Saccharomyces cerevisiae S288C: one gene and its partners. The protein of the gene in region 1 interacts with the protein of each later gene in a biochemical or structural test. Each region holds a gene or a part of one and is shown in the gene's direction. Other genes may lie near its edges.

The links. The genes of interacting proteins can lie anywhere in the genome.
Region 2: of the proteins of HTB1 (region 1) and RAD6, one has a biochemical effect on the other in vitro, tested with the Saccharomyces cerevisiae proteins (5 studies listed by BioGRID, with this or other methods).
Region 3: of the proteins of HTB1 (region 1) and BRE1, one has a biochemical effect on the other in vitro, tested with the Saccharomyces cerevisiae proteins (6 studies listed by BioGRID, with this or other methods).

The regions. Positions count from the first base shown.
Region 1 is NC_001136.10:911,447-919,315, reverse strand, and holds HTB1 (histone H2B), read left to right. Parts: upstream 1-4,603; coding exon 4,604-4,999; downstream 5,000-7,869. Other genes in the region: chromatin-silencing protein SIR4, read right to left, coding at 1-1,745; adenylate kinase ADK1, read right to left, coding at 2,162-2,830; HTA1 (histone H2A), read right to left, coding at 3,388-3,786; CRF1 (Crf1p), read right to left, coding at 5,814-7,217. UniProt on the Saccharomyces cerevisiae protein: Core component of nucleosome. Nucleosomes wrap and compact DNA into chromatin, limiting DNA accessibility to the cellular machineries which require DNA as a template.
Region 2 is NC_001139.9:389,711-395,004, forward strand, and holds RAD6 (E2 ubiquitin-conjugating protein RAD6), read left to right. Parts: upstream 1-4,275; coding exon 4,276-4,794; downstream 4,795-5,294. Other genes in the region: DUO1 (Duo1p), read right to left, coding at 1-1; YBP2 (Ybp2p), read left to right, coding at 355-2,280; protein kinase PKP2, read left to right, coding at 2,513-3,988; GEP7 (Gep7p), read right to left, coding at 5,256-5,294. UniProt on the Saccharomyces cerevisiae protein: E2 ubiquitin-conjugating enzyme that accepts ubiquitin from the ubiquitin-activating enzyme E1 and transfers it to a E3 ubiquitin-protein ligase.
Region 3 is NC_001136.10:323,547-330,379, reverse strand, and holds BRE1 (E3 ubiquitin-protein ligase BRE1), read left to right. Parts: upstream 1-4,230; coding exon 4,231-6,333; downstream 6,334-6,833. Other genes in the region: YET3 (Yet3p), read left to right, coding at 1-544; AHK1 (Ahk1p), read right to left, coding at 813-3,767. UniProt on the Saccharomyces cerevisiae protein: E3 ubiquitin-protein ligase that mediates monoubiquitination of histone H2B to form H2BK123ub1 in association with the E2 enzyme RAD6/UBC2.

The DNA.
Region 1 (7,869 bases):
GATTTATTTAAAGGGTTTTGAATAGTTTTCTTAGCCTCATTTGATGATTCTTTCGTATGCAAAATATCTCGCACAATTTCCTTAGGCTCTAATTTCTTTTGGATGTTTATTGTACCGTTTGAGATATTTGGAGTTCGCCCTTCATTAGGCTTATGCTTTTTCATAGGATTCGGTATTTCTCCTAGCTGGGGCCTCTTTGATGGTGTAACATTCAGGGTATTGTTTCTCGAATCAATGTGGGATTCTCCTTGTACTTTTTGAAGCACTTTTCGACCATCTATTCGTACACTCTGTATCTGCTTTGTGGTTTCTTCGGTTACTTTGTTTACGTGAGCTTCAGTGCTCATGATTTCAGGCGGCCTCTTACCAATTTTCTTGTTTTCACCATTTTTATTCTTTGCAGAAGTGTTCATATCATTTTTCTTTTCTGTGCTTCGAGAAGTAGAGTTATAGTTGTTTTCTTGGCCTTCATATTCAACAAGAAAAGCAAGTTTTGTAGTTTCTTCATCTCTAGTGGAAAAATTTCGGCTGTTTCTACGCCCTTGAGGTCTGTCAGCTGGACTTTTCGACAAATGAGGTGACTTTAAGATTTCCATCCTCTTGAGGTCGGCGTCTTCCTTCATTTTTTGTTCAGATGTTATAGGCTGATGCTTCGAAGGTGCAAGTGTTTTCTCATCGTGCAGTGTTATTTTATCTTGATCAATGGCGACTTTTTTTGGAGATGGAACGATCTTCTTTGATGTTAGAGTTTCTGTCGTGGCTGACGTCCCATTGGTATCTAAGGCCGATGCGACCGTACTATTTGCACTATTCTCATCTAATTTTACTGGTTTTTCTTGATTTATTTCTAAACGCTCGTTAGTAGATTCCTCATTTATTCCATACACTTCTGTTTGTATGGCATTCGGTTTTGCAATTCCAGGACTTCTTGCCTTGCTCTCCTCCGGTGATATACCACTGTCACCGGCACTAACCTTCGGAACTGATAGTGAATCAGAATGGGCAAAGTTTTTACCTATATTCAACTTTTCTTCTTTTTTTTCTTCTACGGTATCTTTCCTGATAGATTTGTCCTTGGTCAAAGAAATCACAGAGGCGCCGATGTCTGCTGATCCTTTTTTAAGTGGCTTCTCTAAAACAGGCTGTTCGTTTGCCAAGTTTATGCCTAGAATCTCTTTAGAGTAATCCCTTATTTTCTCTTCACTTAGTAAGCTTTTTACTCCTGATAAAAATGAGTTATTGGTTTGTGATGTTGATATCGGTACTATGGTACGTACAGGCTTTGAATTGAAGGTAGAAGTTTGTTGCTGCGCATGCCGGGAAAATGCTGTTTGTTCAAAACTTGCTAGAGACCTGCTAGCATCATGTGAAGGATTGTTTGATTCAATTCTTCCTGCTGACGTTTTGGACCGAAGAAGGGAGAGTAGTTTGCTGTTGCTTATTTTTTCCAGATTTGAGTGAGGAAAAGAATTATAGTTATTTTTTTTCAGTGGTGAGGATTTTGGCTGTTGCAACTGTTTATGGGAAGTCGGTTTTACATCACTTGGTTGATGAGGTGAGGTATGAATTGCGGTTGACGGCCTTGAATAGTTTTTGCTTTTGGCAAACGTGAATAATGGAATTTTAGGTGTCTTCACTTCATTGGATTTTTCTTCTCTTTCAGGAATTTTATCATTCGGGGTTACTGGTTTTTTAGTAAACTTGGGAGTGCTGGACCTATTGGGTGTCTTATTGTCATTTGGCATTGGCTGTTTTCTTCGCTTTTTTGGTATTGTGGGTTGAAGCTTCCTTTTTTTTTTTATCCCCTGCAAAACGATGTCCAGTTAGAACTCTGACTGAATTATAAAACCTGAAAAGCGCTTATTTCGTTATAGGTTTATAAAAAGCTTCACTATTACTGTTATACCGTTTTTGTTTATGTGATGCGCTTTTGTTCATCTATTTAGTAATATGATTTGCGTTCGTTCTCAACGATAAAAATATTGACTAAGTACTTAATGGCAGTGCACATGTTTAAGGACGTTATAGCCAGTTACAAACACTTATGTTATTATTTCATTTATAGTATACTGCGGATATATGTACTCACATACAAAAATTTATTATATTTTCATTAATTTAAAAAAAAGAAAAGATATTTAGAAGACATTGCGCAAGGTCATTAATCCTTACCTAGCTTGTTCAAGATGTCAGCCCAAACAGTAGCAGGAGGTTGGGAAGCATCAACACCAGCCCAGATACCGGTCTTTTTGTAAAAGTCAACAATTGGTTCGGTTTGAGCATGGTAAGCAGCTAATCTCTTCTTCAAGGCGTCTGCATTGTCATCAGATCTTTGAACTAAAGCTTCACCGGTGACGTCATCCTTCATGTCTTCCTTTGGTGGGTTAAAGATCTTGTGGTAGGATCTGCCAGAGGCTGGGTGAATTAATCTACCGGTAATTCTGGCAACCAACAATTCATCATCAACCTTCAATTCGATGGCTTTTTCCAAAGGAGTTCCTTGTTCTTTCAACATTTGGTCCAATTTTTCAGCCTGAGGAATGGTTCTTGGGAAACCGTCCAAGATGAACCCATTCTTACAAGCTGGATTGTTGGTCAATTCATCCTTGATCATGTTAACCATAATGTCATCAGAGACTAAACCACCTTGGTCCATAATTTTCTTTGCTTCCAAACCTAATTGAGTGCCCTTTGCGATTTGAGATCTCAACATGTCACCAGTGGCCAAGTGAGCGGCATGGAAACGCTCTTGCAAATTTGGAGCTTGAGTACCTTTACCGGCACCAGGTGGGCCAATTAGGACCATTCTAATGGATTCTGAGCTAGACATTACTGTTATATTTGATGCTGTGTGGTGACTTTACCAGAGAAACGTTAATGTTTCTTTATTAAAGCTCTCGTTTCTGATAAACCAGGTAATCCATTTCAGAAATTTATGCGTATATATATATACAAATATGCGTAATAAAACTAGCCAGAGTGAAAAAGTCGAAAATCAAAAAAAAATGGGCGAATAAGGACAGAAGCCGCGGGCTGCTGCGGACAGTTCTCCGTGACAGGATCGCGCAATCGTGAGCTTTTTTCCTTTGGTTGTGAAAATTTCGTCACACTATCAAAGTGAACAAAGCACAGAATGTGTTTGCTACTCAATCATGTTCAAGTAAGCAACAGTGCCCAATGAACCTAAACAGAGCAACAGAGAAAACAGGAAGACACAACAAAAAATTTATATCATGCATGACATATGTTACCGTTAATTATATACCCAATAAATTATATATAGAAAAATAAAAAGGAAAAACAGAAAGGTCTAATAGACACTTAATATAGTTACAATGGAGAAGCAGTTTAGTTCCTTCCGCCTTCTTTAAAATACCAGAACCGATCTTATAATTCTTGAGAAGCCTTGGTAGCCTTGGCAGACTTCTTTGGCAACAAGTTTTGATGGATGTTTGGCAAAACACCACCTTGGGCAATGGTAACGTTACCCAATAGCTTGTTCAATTCGTCATCATTTCTGATAGCCAATTGCAAATGTCTTGGAATAATTCTGGTCTTCTTGTTATCCCTAGCAGCATTACCAGCTAATTCTAAAATTTCAGCGGCCAAATATTCCAAGACAGCAGTCAAGTAGACTGGAGCACCAGAACCAATTCTTTGGGCGTAGTTACCTCTTCTTAGCAATCTGTGCACTCTACCGACTGGGAATGTCAAACCAGCCTTAGCAGATCTAGATTGAGAAGCTTTAGCAGCTGAACCAGCTTTACCACCTTTACCACCGGACATTTTATATTTTATATGTATGAAATTTGTTTGTTTTGAAGTTGTTTATTCACTGAGAAATAACCAAATCCGTATGATGATGTAGTATCAAGAAGAGAAGTACAGATTGGAAGTAAATAGATGATGGTTCAACAAGACCAGAAAATCTACAAGCTGATTAGGAGTCTTATTTATATATTTTTTAGGTCAAGACTTATTGCTAGTATTTACGATCCACTGGCTGGCTTCGTGAACGGGGAAGGGGGTGAGAAAAGATTTTGAAATCAACAAAGTGGGCAATAACAAATAACAGCATGAGAAACCACATATCTCTACGGGCGTTTCTTCAACAACGACGAGTTAACTATTGTGCTCTTTTTTTGAGCCACCAAATACACTCCATTCCAATAGCTTCGCACAGTGAGGCGAAAATTTTGGAACAGCGCTAATGAATTATTTGTGAGCTCGGCGAGTTCAAATTTGAAGAAAACGCGGTTGGGTCGTTAACTATGGTTAGACGCTCAATGTCGCCCGAAAGGGAAGGCTGTTCTCACTTTTTCGCGCGTTGCACCCTTTCTTCCGCGAAAAAATGAGAACGATGGATTTAAAATCAAGAGAATTGGCCTTAGTAGTGGCAAATACTACCTTGGTTGGTTATCTTGTAACGATTGGTAAGAAAGGGGCATCTCTGTTTTCTTGATGTATATAAACAACATGATTTGATCATCTCAGATGGTCAGATTTATTAAAGACGTTTCTCTTTCCGCATTTTCGATTATTGTTATATTAAATTTATCCTATATAGACAAGTCAAACCACAAATAAACCATACACACATACAATGTCTGCTAAAGCCGAAAAGAAACCAGCCTCCAAAGCCCCAGCTGAAAAGAAACCAGCCGCTAAAAAGACTTCCACTTCCACTGATGGTAAGAAGAGAAGCAAGGCTAGAAAGGAAACATACTCTTCTTACATTTACAAAGTTTTGAAGCAAACTCACCCTGACACTGGTATTTCCCAAAAGTCCATGTCTATCTTGAACTCTTTCGTTAACGATATCTTTGAAAGAATCGCTACTGAAGCTTCTAAATTGGCTGCGTATAACAAGAAGTCTACTATCTCTGCTAGAGAAATTCAAACCGCTGTTAGATTGATCTTACCAGGTGAATTGGCTAAGCATGCTGTCTCTGAAGGTACTAGAGCTGTTACCAAGTACTCTTCCTCTACTCAAGCATAATGAAATCACTTCCTTTGGTTATAATTAATATTATTATTTATATGGGTATATAAAAATTAAAGTAAAGTAAAAAAAATTGTATAATAGTTTAATAATTTTAATGATTATAAGATATTTACTCGGTTGTAAAATTGTGTTCTCGAAATTACAAATGGTCTCATAGAGGGAATGCGCTTATGCGGCAAGGCAGTTTACTTGTAAGACTAATTATAAGAAGAATAAATAGTGTTGCTTATTAATGACTCAGAAAAGTTTCCACATGATATTTATTAGCTTTCGAAACTTCAGAGCATTGGCTCGTGTGAACAATACTAGATTTTTCCTCAAATTTTAATTCGTATTGCAGTTGCTAACTATTACAATTTTTGTTTATTTTATGCCTTGGAGATTGAACCCTCTGTTGTGATTAACTTCCTGTAAAAACTCCACGCAAGAAACAAAATATAAAAATAAAAAAAAAATTGGTAAAAAAATGAACAATAGAATACGCACGTATAAAAAAATACTAAAAATAAAATAAATGCCACCGACTCTATAAGTACACAGCAATAGTAATTAAAAAAAGACAGATGTCGCTGACTGGATCGTCAGCTGCACTTCAGTATTCCTTGATCCTCTCTCAAGTGGATCCATCCATTTCGGCCCCTAAATTTTTCTCCATCTCATCATACGATATTCCAAGTTGATCTTCGCTGACTAAGTAGGTTTTCCTACTATTCTATGACAATTCAAGTAGTAAAGTGCTTCTATTTTTTCGCAAACGATCATATTTTCCTTTAAAAGACGATAATGATTCTTCTGGAATATCAAATAATCACTCGCCTATGAGCTCAATATGGCCATTGGATGCCTTCTCTACTTCGAGTCCGCCTATGTTTAGAAGGTCGGCTATCATAGCATCATTATCAAATGTTGCATCTCCTTTTTGATTTTCCCGTGAACTTACTGAGCTTGAGCATGAGCTCAAACTTTCAGGAGTATTTATGTCATCACTCAATGGGTACAGCGATTTTGTGCACAACCCATCGATAACACTAAACGGTTTATCACTTAAAGACCAAACGTATAACTTTGGTACTTTTATTCCAATTCTTTTAGAATCCAATATTTCGCAAGCTTTATGGCCAATTTTCTTCCTTTTTCGATCTGGGGTTGGTAAGCTCTCGTCTTCATCTGTTGATTCATCATCTCTATAAGTGACCTCATCAATGTTGTAATCACTATCATAACTATCATTCCTTGGGCCTTCCGAAGAACATGTGAGGTTGGATAAGTCTTCTCTTGAACTATTATAGAGGCAATCAATATCCTTTTTCCTTGTATTAATAGCGACGTTGTCTAGACTAAAGGTGCGATCAGGTCCATCGAGCTCTACTTCGTCGATTTTATGCACATGCTCGTTGAGATGAAAAAAGCTAGACACATCTAATGTAGAAAAATGATTGCATTCACTGAAATGACCATCATCCAAGTTAAGGGGCGTACGGTCCTCAAAACAACTGCTACTATATTTTTTTTCGAGTGGTCTTGGATTTTTCACTCCCTTATCCGTACCATCCATTGGTGTCAATATCACGGCCTCATCAAAGTCGACATCTGATTCCGTTTCTGGATATTGGTGTGTAATACCTCTATTATTATTTATCGATACTGTTTCGCAACTATCGATGTGGTTGTCTACTAAAATATCAACACCAATGTCCTCTTCATCTTCATTAGTTGTTGAAGCCGAAGGACTGTGGTATTGTCGGTGAGATTCACTTTTACTTGTTGGCAAACCGAGCAGTACTACAGCCGAATTCGCCCCGAAGTTTACATCGCGCTTATTACTGACATATGTAGTATTGCCAGCTGACGTGAGCTGGTCATTAAATATATTATCTGCTTCTGTCTTAGAGCTGCTGCCAAGAGACGTCTTTTCCTCTACCTCGTTGGTGTTTTCCTCCCTAGAATATTTATAAGAATTTTTTTTTTTCTGTCTATTACTACTTTCTGGTTTTAATCGTTTAGCACTAATATAGCTACTCTCAAAATCCGAGGCCTTACTTATAGAGGGGTCCCAAAGAGCATCAAAGCTGCCATCATTATTGGATGAAAGGACGACAGTTGAAGAGGACGACGAAAAGGAAGCAGCTGTACCTGTCTCTTTTGGCTTTTTTTTATTTGGACTGTGTGGCTTGCGCCGCACGGTACTGTTAACAGGCGCACTAAGCAACATTTTAAAAGACTTTTTTATTCCGTACTATACCGCTGCTGTTCAGTTAAATGGTAACCTTCTTATAACTTTCTAGTGACCGCAATAATTATATTCCTTCTTTTAAGAAATTTCTCGATACAATTATAGAGGGCTTTTGACTCATTAATCTTACTGGAACCATTGACAGATTAGTCCGAAGAAGAAAACTCTAAAAAATCCGCTAGTAAGATTCAACAAAAAAAAAGTCTGCTTGCTATGAAAGTCTGATTTCTAGAGTACACACCTCTATAGCTACACTCTCAACTGATTGCTTCACTTTTTGAAAGAGGAAGAAGGACAAGAACTGGATTCACAAACTCAACTACATCTCGGTTTATCCGTTTAGACCAAGGTTTTATATAAGGCGAGGTAGAGTTCGGAAAAGGAAACTTTCATCGACTTCCCTTAATGATTATTGATTCCCCTTTGCTTTCTCTCCCCAACATTTGAAATATGATTTCTTTTTATTTCGAAAATGCCATTCTTCTCGTTCCCGTGATGTTTTCAATATGCATGCGGCAAGGGGAACATGATATTTCCGTTCTATGGCTTACGCAAGTAAGAAGCATGGCGCAATGATGCAATAGTCCATGGGGGAAAGTGTGGCCTCAAAATGAAAAAAAAAAGTGATGAT
Region 2 (5,294 bases), on another chromosome or scaffold:
TATTGAAGACTTGTTCAAGTTTCAAATTATCTTCTTTAGTAATACTTGAGTCACCAGTCCAGATTACTTAGCCTATCTTTCTTTATCGCGTTTGATTTTGGCGTTTGTTTGTAATTATTATTCTTTTTTCCTTCGTTTCGCTGTGAAACTAACTTGCGCTGAGGTCCAAAAACCTCTCATCTAAGAATAAAGGAAAATACATATTATCCTGGGTCTAAAAGGCTAAAAGAACTCACCGTCAAGAGGAAGGGCTCAGAAAGTATGGGTGAGTCAATTGAAACAATTTGTAAAAGCCTTGTCAGGGCTTTCCAAGAGGAGAAGGATGATTTTGTCTCACTTGTAACAATCATTGATATGTACAACGAGCAGGTGAACTCTGGAAAGTCTATAAAAGAAAAGGAACGTTATTTGGATGCCCTATTGAAAATACTTAAGGATAATCCAGTTACCTTAAAGGAAATTGGCTGGGATCTGCCAAAGGGTTTATTGCAGTTTTTCTCACGCAAAAACATCAATGTCAATATACATCTAGTTTTTAGTCCCCTTGTTTCTAGTGTGATGGAATGCTTCAATGAGCTAGCCATCAATGGAAATCCGAAAGAATGCTTGTTGACCGCTTGCGAATTGGTGTCAACACTCCATATAGTCTTAACTGAAACTGGCGACTCCGATGAAGAGAATGAAGATTTAAATGACTCCAATAGAAATGATGCGTCAAACATTACTGATGAGCTGTCAGTTATCACTCCGGAGATTGGGCACTATATGGCCAAAAATACAGTAGAATTCATTCCAAATTTGAAAATTTACGTTCTCTTTGAATTTATGAGTTTATTGTTGAAACGTGTGGACACTTTATATCCATCTAAATTTCTAGCCATGGTAACTTCTGCAATTATTAAGTATGTAACAACCAACGTTCAGGCTATGGATGATCCACACTTTATTTTGCGCATAGTGTACAATTTTTGTACTAATTACTCTCCAGCTCAACCATCTGCTAGTCTGACCGATGGTATTAGTACAAACGATCTTGAAAAAATTCATGATGATGAATCTGCCTTACAGAAAAAACTACTGGCTAATCTGAGCGTATTCGTGATTAGCAACTGCCTAAAAAATCATCCAGGTAATATTGACAAGATATATTTCAAAACATTGATGCATAAAAAAACAGATGAAAATGAAATCGATGCTTCAGTTTTACAGATATGCCACCAATACTACGAGTATGTCACATCATTGGATGTCCACATGAAAGAACTTTTAGAAAAGTGCCTGGTAGAATCAAGAAGCATCTATAACTCTCTTCTCATGAACCCGGCCGCTTCCACGCCCGAATTCAAAGAAGAAATTAACCAACTAGTATATGAGGTATCTTACGCATATCAAATCAAGAAACTAGCTGACGAAAAGAACTTAGAGCTGGACCAATATGGAGTTGTGATTCTATCTGCAATACATTATTCTAAAAATGGTACTCACTTATTGCCGCAAATTGATATCCAAAGCGCAATTTACCTCTATCTACGGTGTACGACAGCTTCTTTATTTTCAGAAATATACGAAAATAAGTTTTTGGAAAGTTCAGTACGCTACTGGCTATGGGTATCCACAACCGAGACTTCCACAGAGAAAATAAAGTGTGCCTTACAAGAACTTCCAGGGCACATTACCACGGCCTTTTTGCAGATGTTACTGATGAAAACTTGCAATGAATCTAATAACGACACTAAGTTGACCGAAATTACTCTTCTGAGGAGGTTACTCTATCTCATGCCCGAAAGCACATCTTTTACGTTCATCTTTGAAACTCTACTACATTGTCCATATATAACTGCAAAGATTGCTGTTCTTGACATTCTAAGAGATATGATGATTAGATCTCCTGAGGCTGCTAATCGTGACGAAACTGTCGGTTTAATCGAACAACAGAATCCTGGGAATACCGCTAATAGTGTACCGATAATGCCAACTCTACCTCCAAGACCTTACATCACTATTAATGAAGATCGCATGGCTTCCATTCATAGCATTGCTTTAATATGTTTTTCTGCCGCCAAGCAAAAGAAAAGAACGCAAGGTGATTTACTCTTGGTACTAACATATATGAAATTTTTTGTTAGTTTAAGGAACAAATGGGATTTGGGTCTGTTAACACTCATCAATAAAGAAATCTCCGAATCATTTCAAGGAGAAGGTGAGCCTGAATTAGCATTCATCAACATTTCCAATAATACTCTGGGAGAATATATAGAAGAGATGAACATACGCTCGTAAACTACATAGTAAATTAGTTGCTCTTCTCTTTTGTTCCCGAGTAAATCGAATTATTCTATTAAAGGGAAACACTATGTTTTGAGTCATCCAAACTTTCATTTTTTTCAGATTTCATCGCCCGATCGTCAAGGAATAAAAAGGGAAGGGATGGGATACTTGCATTGGAACCCAGAAAGTACGTAAAAGATGAAGATCGTGAGAGATTGGTCAATGGATAAATAGTTCTGTAATTATGTCTAAGTATCAAATTAATTGCATAAGATACCGGCACTTTCTCAGGACATCTAATATCTCGCAGATCCCTGATTTCACGAAATACTGCATTGGTCCCGTAAATGAAGAATTGGCACCTTACATCATGGAAACCATGAAGGCATACCCTTCAAATTCCGAATATATCAATCCGCAGCATTACTATCATAATAGAACGGTATTAGTAGAAAATTACTTAAAACGAAGTCCAAATCCAGTATCATTAACGCAGTTAGCGCAATATTATGACGATTCTACCAAGCTGACCAGAACCAAGATCATCAATTCCGGGAAATTTGTAAAAGAAGAACTGGTAATTAGGATCGCGCATAAATTAAATCAATTGCAACAACTTCCATTTAATGTTGTGAACAACTTCCATTTTGTTCAAGTTTATGAGTCATATTACAATATTTTTGAAAGCTTTAGAAAATATCCGACTATAAGAACTTTAGAGGACGCTTCTCAATTTGCAGATTTTATCAAAAATATGCTAGAAGGCTTCAATACTCTAAACTTACCACATTTGATAATGGGGGCTTTAGAATGTACAATTTTGGATCTTTATCCTCGTGAAAAAATGGACCAACTACTATCTGATCTGTTAAGAGCTCGAATATCAAGAAGATTGATTGTAGAGGAACACGTCAGTATCACAGCCAACTACACTAGTGGTAAGGAGGAAAATACCTTGGTATTGGGTGATATTTTTCAAGAATGTAGCGCTAAAAAATATTTATTGGAAGCCAGTGAGGAATCTCAAAAATTTATCCAAGATATGTACTTTAAAGACATTCCCATGCCAGAATTTATTATCGAAGGTGACACTCAACTAAGCTTTTACTTTTTGCCTACACATTTGAAGTATTTGTTAGGGGAGATCCTTCGAAATACTTACGAAGCAACCATGAAACACTATATTCGTAAGGGATTAGAAAAGCCGGAACCAATCATAGTAACTGTAGTAAGTAACGATGAATCCTATTTGTTTAGAATTTCAGATAAAGCTGGGGGCGTCCTCCATGATGATGAAAATCTATGGTCATTCGGTAAATCGAAAGAAAGGGCTCAAGAATCCCTAAATAATTTTCACAAGTTACCTGGTTTACAAACAGTATCTATTTATGACGAAGTACATTCCCATACTAAATATAACTCCAAACTGAAGTCATTGCAGTCAATAACATTAAAACCGTACATGCACACGTCGCTAGAACCAATGAGTTATCCTAGCATCATAAATGGGCACATCAAATATGAAACTCCCCTAATTGAATTGTTAAAGCGGTCTTTTAGATACAAGCTTGGGATTGGGTTAGCCATGTGTAAAGTGTATGCTGAATATTGGAACGGCGACCTTTCATTGCATTCAATGCCTGGATATGGTACCGATGTTGTATTAAAATTAGGCAACTTGATGAAGCATACGAAGAAACTACAATTAGATAAAGTGTGAGCTAACCATGCTTACACTATATACCAAGGAACAAATACATATTCGGAATATTAGTATGGTGACTACATTTCCCGGATTAGTGTATGTATATACAAAAAGGCACCTCCGGGTAGCCGGAGTAGAAAGCTGGAAAAATAAAAATGAAAGCGAATGGAATGTGTAAGAGAAAAAAAGGAAAGAACTATCAAGTTGCAGAGTTGATGACATAAATAGTAGAGTGGAAAATCAACGAAGATCGAATTCCAAAGATTATTTTTAGGCAGACAGAGACTAAAAGATAAAGCGTCATGTCCACACCAGCTAGAAGAAGGTTGATGAGAGATTTTAAACGTATGAAGGAAGATGCCCCACCGGGTGTATCTGCTTCACCATTACCTGATAACGTCATGGTATGGAACGCCATGATTATCGGGCCAGCCGATACTCCATATGAAGACGGAACTTTTAGGTTATTGTTGGAGTTTGATGAAGAATATCCCAATAAGCCACCGCATGTCAAATTTTTGAGTGAAATGTTTCATCCCAATGTCTATGCAAATGGTGAAATTTGTTTGGATATTTTGCAGAACAGATGGACTCCAACATATGATGTCGCATCCATATTGACATCCATTCAAAGTTTATTCAACGATCCAAATCCAGCTTCGCCAGCAAACGTTGAAGCTGCAACATTATTCAAAGATCATAAATCACAGTACGTCAAAAGAGTTAAGGAGACGGTAGAGAAATCTTGGGAGGATGATATGGACGATATGGACGATGATGATGATGATGATGACGACGACGACGACGACGAAGCAGACTGAGAAAAATCAAAAGAATCTTAATGATGAATGCCGAGCCGATATTATGAATTCGATTACCTTTTTGTTCAATCAAATATAGGGCTTCATCGTGAGTTTCTTTCTCTATCGATCCGTTTGCTTTCTATTCCTCCATCTTCTACTTTATACCGTAAAGAAAATTTAATAATGATAGAAACATTGCATATAAATAATATACTAAAAAGAAACACTGCTCTACCATAAATTTCTTTGGAGAAAATAACGTGAAATGAGAAATAAGGACAATTTGTTATCGGTTATAACTGCCGATACCCGTATCTTTTGTGTTTGATTCAAGGAATACTTATTTAGAGTAGAAAGAATATATTTACTTAGATAACTTAATGTATAATATATAAAAAAAATCAAAAAAACAGGAAAAAAAAAAATCATGAGTGAGTGGCACTTTTAACTGCAAGAATGAAGAGTGACCCCATTTTTTTTTATTCTGATATTACAGTACTCTTCTGTGCGGGCAGCTC
Region 3 (6,833 bases), 590 kb from region 1:
CCTACCAATCCCTTCTAGATACCGTAGGCCTCTCACCTTACTGTTATTAAAGCCGTTCAAATCCTCCACAGTGCAAGTTGCGATCAAGTGTGTACTTGGGTTCATTCTTTTGCTTTTCATCGATTGTATCAACAGAGTGTACAGCATCGACAAAGAGCTGCAGTTAAGTAGCGCCTCTCAAAATAATGGCGCTATAATCGCTCAAGATAGAATTGAGGTTCTTTCTAGGAAATTCTTTGCCCAAAGGAATATGTATTTGACAGGTATAACTTTGTTTTTGACCTTTGTCGTCGTTAGGACTTTTGGGCTAGTCATAGAACTTTTAACCATGAAAGACATATACAGAGCATCGCCTCCAGTAGCCTCCAGCGATGTCAAGAAGAACGACTCTGTTACTGCCGAAGCTGCTGCTCAATCCGGCGCTTCCAAGGATGACCACGGCGATGAGAAAAATTTTGAACTATTGAAGAAAATTCAGGACATCGATGACGAAATTGCACGTTTAAAGGAGAAGTCGGAATCGTTGCAAGAAGAAATAAATTAGTTTGACGTTTTATTCCTTTTCTTCTGCACAGAAGTGTGTATATATATATTTATATATAGTCGATGTGCAAAAGCCTACATTATTTTTCTTTTGATTTTTATTTTTTTGTTCAAGTAGGTTCATGCCGACAGTAAATCCTTATGCCCTACCTAAATATAAACACCCAAATATATATATATATATATATATATATAAATAATAAAAACGGAAAGGAAATAGAATAATAATAATAATACTACACGTTTACGTATGTAACTCATTCTATTATTCAGACTTTGATATTAATAGAATTATTACTACTAGGTTTCCTCACTTCAAAATCTATAAATATACCGTCATGCTCTAATCGATTGGAAAACTCAAAATATTCTCTTACTGTAGCATTGAACGTCTCAATTAAAACACAGATTTTTTGTATCCTTGTTCTCAACTTCATATCTTGGATCTGCTTCCAAATTGTCACCTCCCGCCCCCCAGTAACTTTCAAATCTTCCACATTCTGATTACCAATTTTGGCTACATCTTGCTCATCTTCCATACATTTGCCAAAAATATTAAAATCAGGCACCGGTATCTCAAAATCTAGACCATTACCGCATAAGGTAGCTAAGTTTCTCGTCTCACTTTCGTTCTTAGCAACACTCGCAACCAAATCTTTCGGGACGGGTAAAGGCTTCATGTACTTACTGCCTCCGTGGATTGTCCCCCATTTCATGTTCGCCAAATCTATTTTTTCGACGACTCTTCTATTGGTTTGAATAAATACCAGTTTGAATATTGTAGCAATACTATTGTGTTCCTTGATTTCATTAGAAAATCTCAACTCTGGTGGACCTATCAATATATTCTCCCTCCTATTGAGCTTGATACTTGAATTATATGATACCATTGATCCTGAATTGTTACCATGCTTAAAAATTTTTTCAATATTACTAGATGACTGCTTCGGCAAAATTTCTGCAAAATCAGCCACATCTTCATCATATTCAAAATCGTTGCCTAATTCATTTGCCTGTTCCTTCTTCTTCTGTGAATCTTCAGAAGTACTTGAAAATTTTGAAAGCCAAGTGTTCAGTGTTGCCGATAAAGAACTATTACCTTCCTTTCTCTTATTTTTATGCGAGCCACTATCTTCTGAGTCTTCATCATTATCTTCGTTTTCCTGACCTCCTTCGTAGCCATCCATAATTTTGTGATTTTTTTTGGGATTTAGTCGGGTCTTCTTTTCTGCAAGAAGAAAGGCAGCTTTACTTGTCATTTCGTCCAAAATATCATAAGCGTATTTACCATTTTTCAAGATAACGTTAGGTCTTGTATTTGCCACTGAGCTGACAGAGGGAAATCTTTCTGTAGTTAAATTTTTATCATGATTAATCTTATAAACTAAGTGGTCCTCTGTATTTGGTTTTTTTGGAATCATCATCAAACGTGAGTTACCATTAAAAACGAGAGCATTCTTTCTATGCGCCACTATATCATTTGAATCGTGTTTTTGCATCTCAAATAACTCCTCCTTGTTTACCAGTAGCTCTTCATATAGTTGTTTAATTCTATCATGTGGCAAGAATCGTAATGAAGAAGAATTTTGAACACTTGGAATGATTTTAAAAACTAATACCTTCATAAATAAAATTCTAATCAAAGGAAATTCGTTTTCAAAAATCAATGACTCCCAAAAATCACTTAACAGCACTTTTACTATTTCATCGCGGTCCTCAATGGTTACGTGCTTCCAAATATTGAAAAGGCATAATAAAGAAACAGTCTGGCAGTTAACATTTTTGGTCCTTAACATACTCAAAAGCCCATTGTACCACGACCTCCATTGAATGAATTTCAGAGAAGGTAAACTTTCAAACTGGAAAATAATAAACTGGAGAACCTTATTGTAAATGACGTTCGCTGCAATATAATCGTACGCTGAAATAGTGGAGACATAGTCTATCAATAGAGACTCATGTAAGGAAAGCATATTTTCCAGGTATTCCGGATGATTTTCTTTAAGAATGCATCCTGAAAGGCTTCTAAGACATTCCCATAATTTGATTGTCTTAAAATTAGAAAATACGTAATCATTAATCCTTTCAGATGTAATTAAAGCATTGCTACTATTCAAACTCTTGAAATTTGGATGTGACTCTGTCACATTCTCATTTGCTATCCTTGGATTCGGCGTTTGTTTAATAATCCGCGTGAATTTATTCAAATCTGAATTCAAGAATCTAGTGGTTACATGCGTCAATAAAATTTCTGAGCCAGGTATGCATGACAATGTCGATTTTTTAATTCCTACATCTGAATCAGAGAATTTCATAAATTGAAGTATGATATACCAATAGTGCCAATAAAATGACATAAGTACAAAATCATTTTTAATATAAGAAACAATGATCTTAAAAAATTTAGTATCTTTATTTTCAAAAGCTTCAGTGCGGATCATTTGTCCCTGATCGTCGGTGAATTTATATTGTCTCTTCTTCCATGAAAACAAAGATGTTTGAATACTTGAAGAGATTTGAGGAGAAACTGTCAATAACAAAATTGTATCGAAATGAAAGTCTTCTGGTAGATAAAAAAATGCGTAAGCATTTAACTTCCCGATGAATGCTCGCAGCAAGGAAGAATATTTGTTAAGGTATTGCAGCTTCTTGTCGTTTATAGAGCACTTGTCATCACTATTTGTACGTTTAAGTTTTTTGGAGTTTTTAGAAATCAAAATCAACTTGTTTGTTATGCAATGAATGGTCAGCAAAAGATGATGTGAGTATATTTCCATGTCTCTGGATGAATGGAAAGGCAATATTATTAGTATGGTCATAATTTTGCTGAGGCACTCGAGACACACGGAAGTTAGTTCTATGCTCAAGCTCAATTCAAGGGCAGTATCTATTTGAAGCGAGGTGTCAGAATTTAGAAAGTTTAAAAGTGTGACCCACCATTGGGTCAAAACATCTCTAACCTCCAGTGTACAGTTGCTTCGTGAAGAATCACACCATTGTCTTAGAACCGTTAGTAGTTTCAAGCGTAAAAAATTTGAGGAGGATTTGCAAAATTTTGTATTTTGTTCTTTATTACTAGCTGACTGATTAGCATTGTTTATGAAATTGATAAACCTGTTCAACGATTGAAATAATTGAGTTTCATAATTGTCCATCAAGAAGCCATCTTGAGACGTAGTCTTTAATCCACATTCATATAGTTGATTATGTATGGCAGGACCCATGCTTAATGAGCAATATGATCTTTAGTGCTACAACAATGCGTATATAGCATACGAAGCACAATCGAGTTCAGAATTGTTTCTCTACCCACGAAAGATAATATTGGGAAAATCACTGGTGAAATTCTGAGATCGTTAATTTCAGTGGATTCAAAAAGAAAGAGCAGATCGACAATAGGCACTAAGGATGTCTTCTAACTTTGAAATGAAGCACCAACTGATCGTACTTTGATCAAACCATCGTTATTATATAAAAGTGACAAAAGCATTTGATCACGTGATTATAATCACATCCAACGAAACTTTCTTAAAGAAGGCGAAAAAACAAAAAAGAAGAAGATTAAAAAAAGTTGGATGGATGTTGTTTGAACGGTAAACTAACAGAGAGCGCCCCAAGGTTTTTAACAGAGATAGAAAGGGCTTTCACCGTTTTTATGCTAATCGTGCTAGCTGATAATAATCAGATATGACGGCCGAGCCTGCTACTAAGAAGATCAAGCTAGAATTAAGCGATCCTAGTGAACCGCTTACTCAATCTGATGTGATAGCGTTTCAAAAAGAAGCTTTGTTTAGATGTATAAATCGTCGAAGAGTCGACTTTGAAGCCTTGCGAAAGCAATATGAACTTTCAAGAAGGGAGTGCATAGATGTTTCCCGCAAGTTGGCAAATATTATGGCGCTGATAGTAACTTTAGCTAGGTTTATCGAAACATTCTGCACAGACGCCAACGAGAAGCAACTATGTAGGGAAATAGCCCAAGGCGATGAGACGTTGATAGTTCAGCGCAGTGATTCTTTCATGAAGCTACTGACTAAATATGGGAAGCCAAACACGACAGATAGTAATACTAATAGTAATGCTTCGGATCATATTCAAGAATTAACAACGGAGTTAAAAAACTTGCGGAAAAGTAAAGAGGAGCTCTTTTATGAAAATTCGCAATTGACAGAGGAGATTTCTGCTTTGAAGGAATATTATACAAATATAATTCGCAAGTATGATAGAGATGAATCCTTTACTATAAAACGTGTTTTTAAGGAAGATAAGACTGATGCTGTAAAGGAATTACGGGAAGATGAAAAAGAATCTAATGAAAACAATATAAAATCTGGAAATAAAGACTCCTCTGCAATTAATGGTGATAATACATCCAAAAAATCCGAGAAAGGTGATGAACTTGTGCAGGCGGAGGATGAACGAAAAGAAGATGCTGAGAATGAAAAATTAGAATTGGATCTGAAATTTTCTGATTTACGGGCAGAGATAAACTCCTTGAGTTCCACTATAAAAGACCTTGAAAATATCAGAAGGGAAAACGAGGAAGAGCTCATCAAAACACGTTCTGAGGTATCCAATTTAAAAAAGCAACAGATAGCAGCAGCAGACCAAGACCCAGATTTCAAGTCATATGACCATGAGTCCCTGTTAGCAAAAATTCAACATTTGACTGAACAAAACGCAGAATTATCTGAGATCAATAGTTCCTTTTTATCAAAATTTCAAGTTTTAGCCAAAGAGAAAGAAATATATACGAAGAAGGTCCGAGAAGAATTCCAGAAAAGTCTCGACTCCCTAGTAGAAATGAACAGTTCATTGGAAAAGGACGTTGTAAGAATAAGAACGGCTCGTGATGATTTACTAAGCAAAATCGCCATTTTGGAAGCTGAAAAATCCAAGACTGAAGTGTTGAGCGATTTACAACATGCAATTGATATTTTGAAGGAGCAATGGACAAAAATTGATCAAAGATCAAACGATACAAAATCCTCGTCGACTCAAGATGCATTAATAAAGGAAATTCAAGACTTAGAGAAGGGTTTTAGAGAGTTATCCGACTTAACTCATAAAAAGTACTCTGAGATTATTAATCACGAATCTGTTATATCCAAGCTTACCGTAGAAAAAACTAAGGCTGATCAGAAATATTTTGCCGCGATGAGGTCCAAAGATTCAATTTTAATTGAAATCAAAACTCTTTCTAAAAGCCTCAGTAAATCAAATGAGCTTATTCTACAGTTAAAGGACTCTGATAGATTGCTACAGCAAAAAATAGGAAATTTACATAAACAACTGGATCTTTCTCAAAATAATGAACGCAGGTTAATTGATTCCAGTAAAACAGAGACACTAAAAATAATTGATTTAAATAATACATCCACTAAACTGAAAAGGTCATTAGAAAAGCTACAAGAAGAAAGTAACAAAAGCATTGCAGATATGACGCATCTAGAAACTAAATTAAATGATACAGAAATAGAATTGAAGCACTTCAAGCAGAAGGCATCTCATCTAGAATCCAAGTGTGAAAAACTACATGATACATTGTTCCGTGGTAACAACAAAAATAAGGGCTCGAGCGATGAAGCACTCGTAGAAGAACTAGCAAATTTCCGTACACTTGTTTATTGTTCCCTGTGTTCTAAAAATTGGAAAAACATGGCTATTAAAACCTGTGGCCATGTCTTTTGTGAGAATTGCTGTAAGGAACGATTGGCAGCGAGAATGAGAAAATGCCCTACATGCAACAAAGCATTCAGTTCCAATGATTTATTGACAGTGCACTTGTAATACTAATTATTCTACCACTTTTCCACTGTTTGTGTTATATCCTCCACATACATATACATATAATATATGTAAATCTAGTTTTGTCATTGCTTTTATTTTATTTGCGTACATCCTAGCCTAACTTCTGAATCAAAGAGTGACGTCTACTGTCGCATGTTTCCAAAGAAAAACTCTAATTGTACATATCATGCTGATAATTCCTACAAGCCCTAAAGATTCATATAATACTTTGGGCGGCCGGGTGAGAGAACGCCCGCGACCTGAAAAATTTTCTGTGATTTTTTATTATGACCTTAATCGCGCTTGTTCAAGATATATTTTCATCACAAATGTCCATACATATATATATATATATATATATATATATATCAACATTTGTAACATAACTCTTCTACTGCAGTCCTTGGGGGGAACAAGGATAATAGCAGAATCATATCAACTGGAAAGGACAAGAATAGATTTATAAACGGGTGATAAGATTAATGGTATAGTGAGTTCAC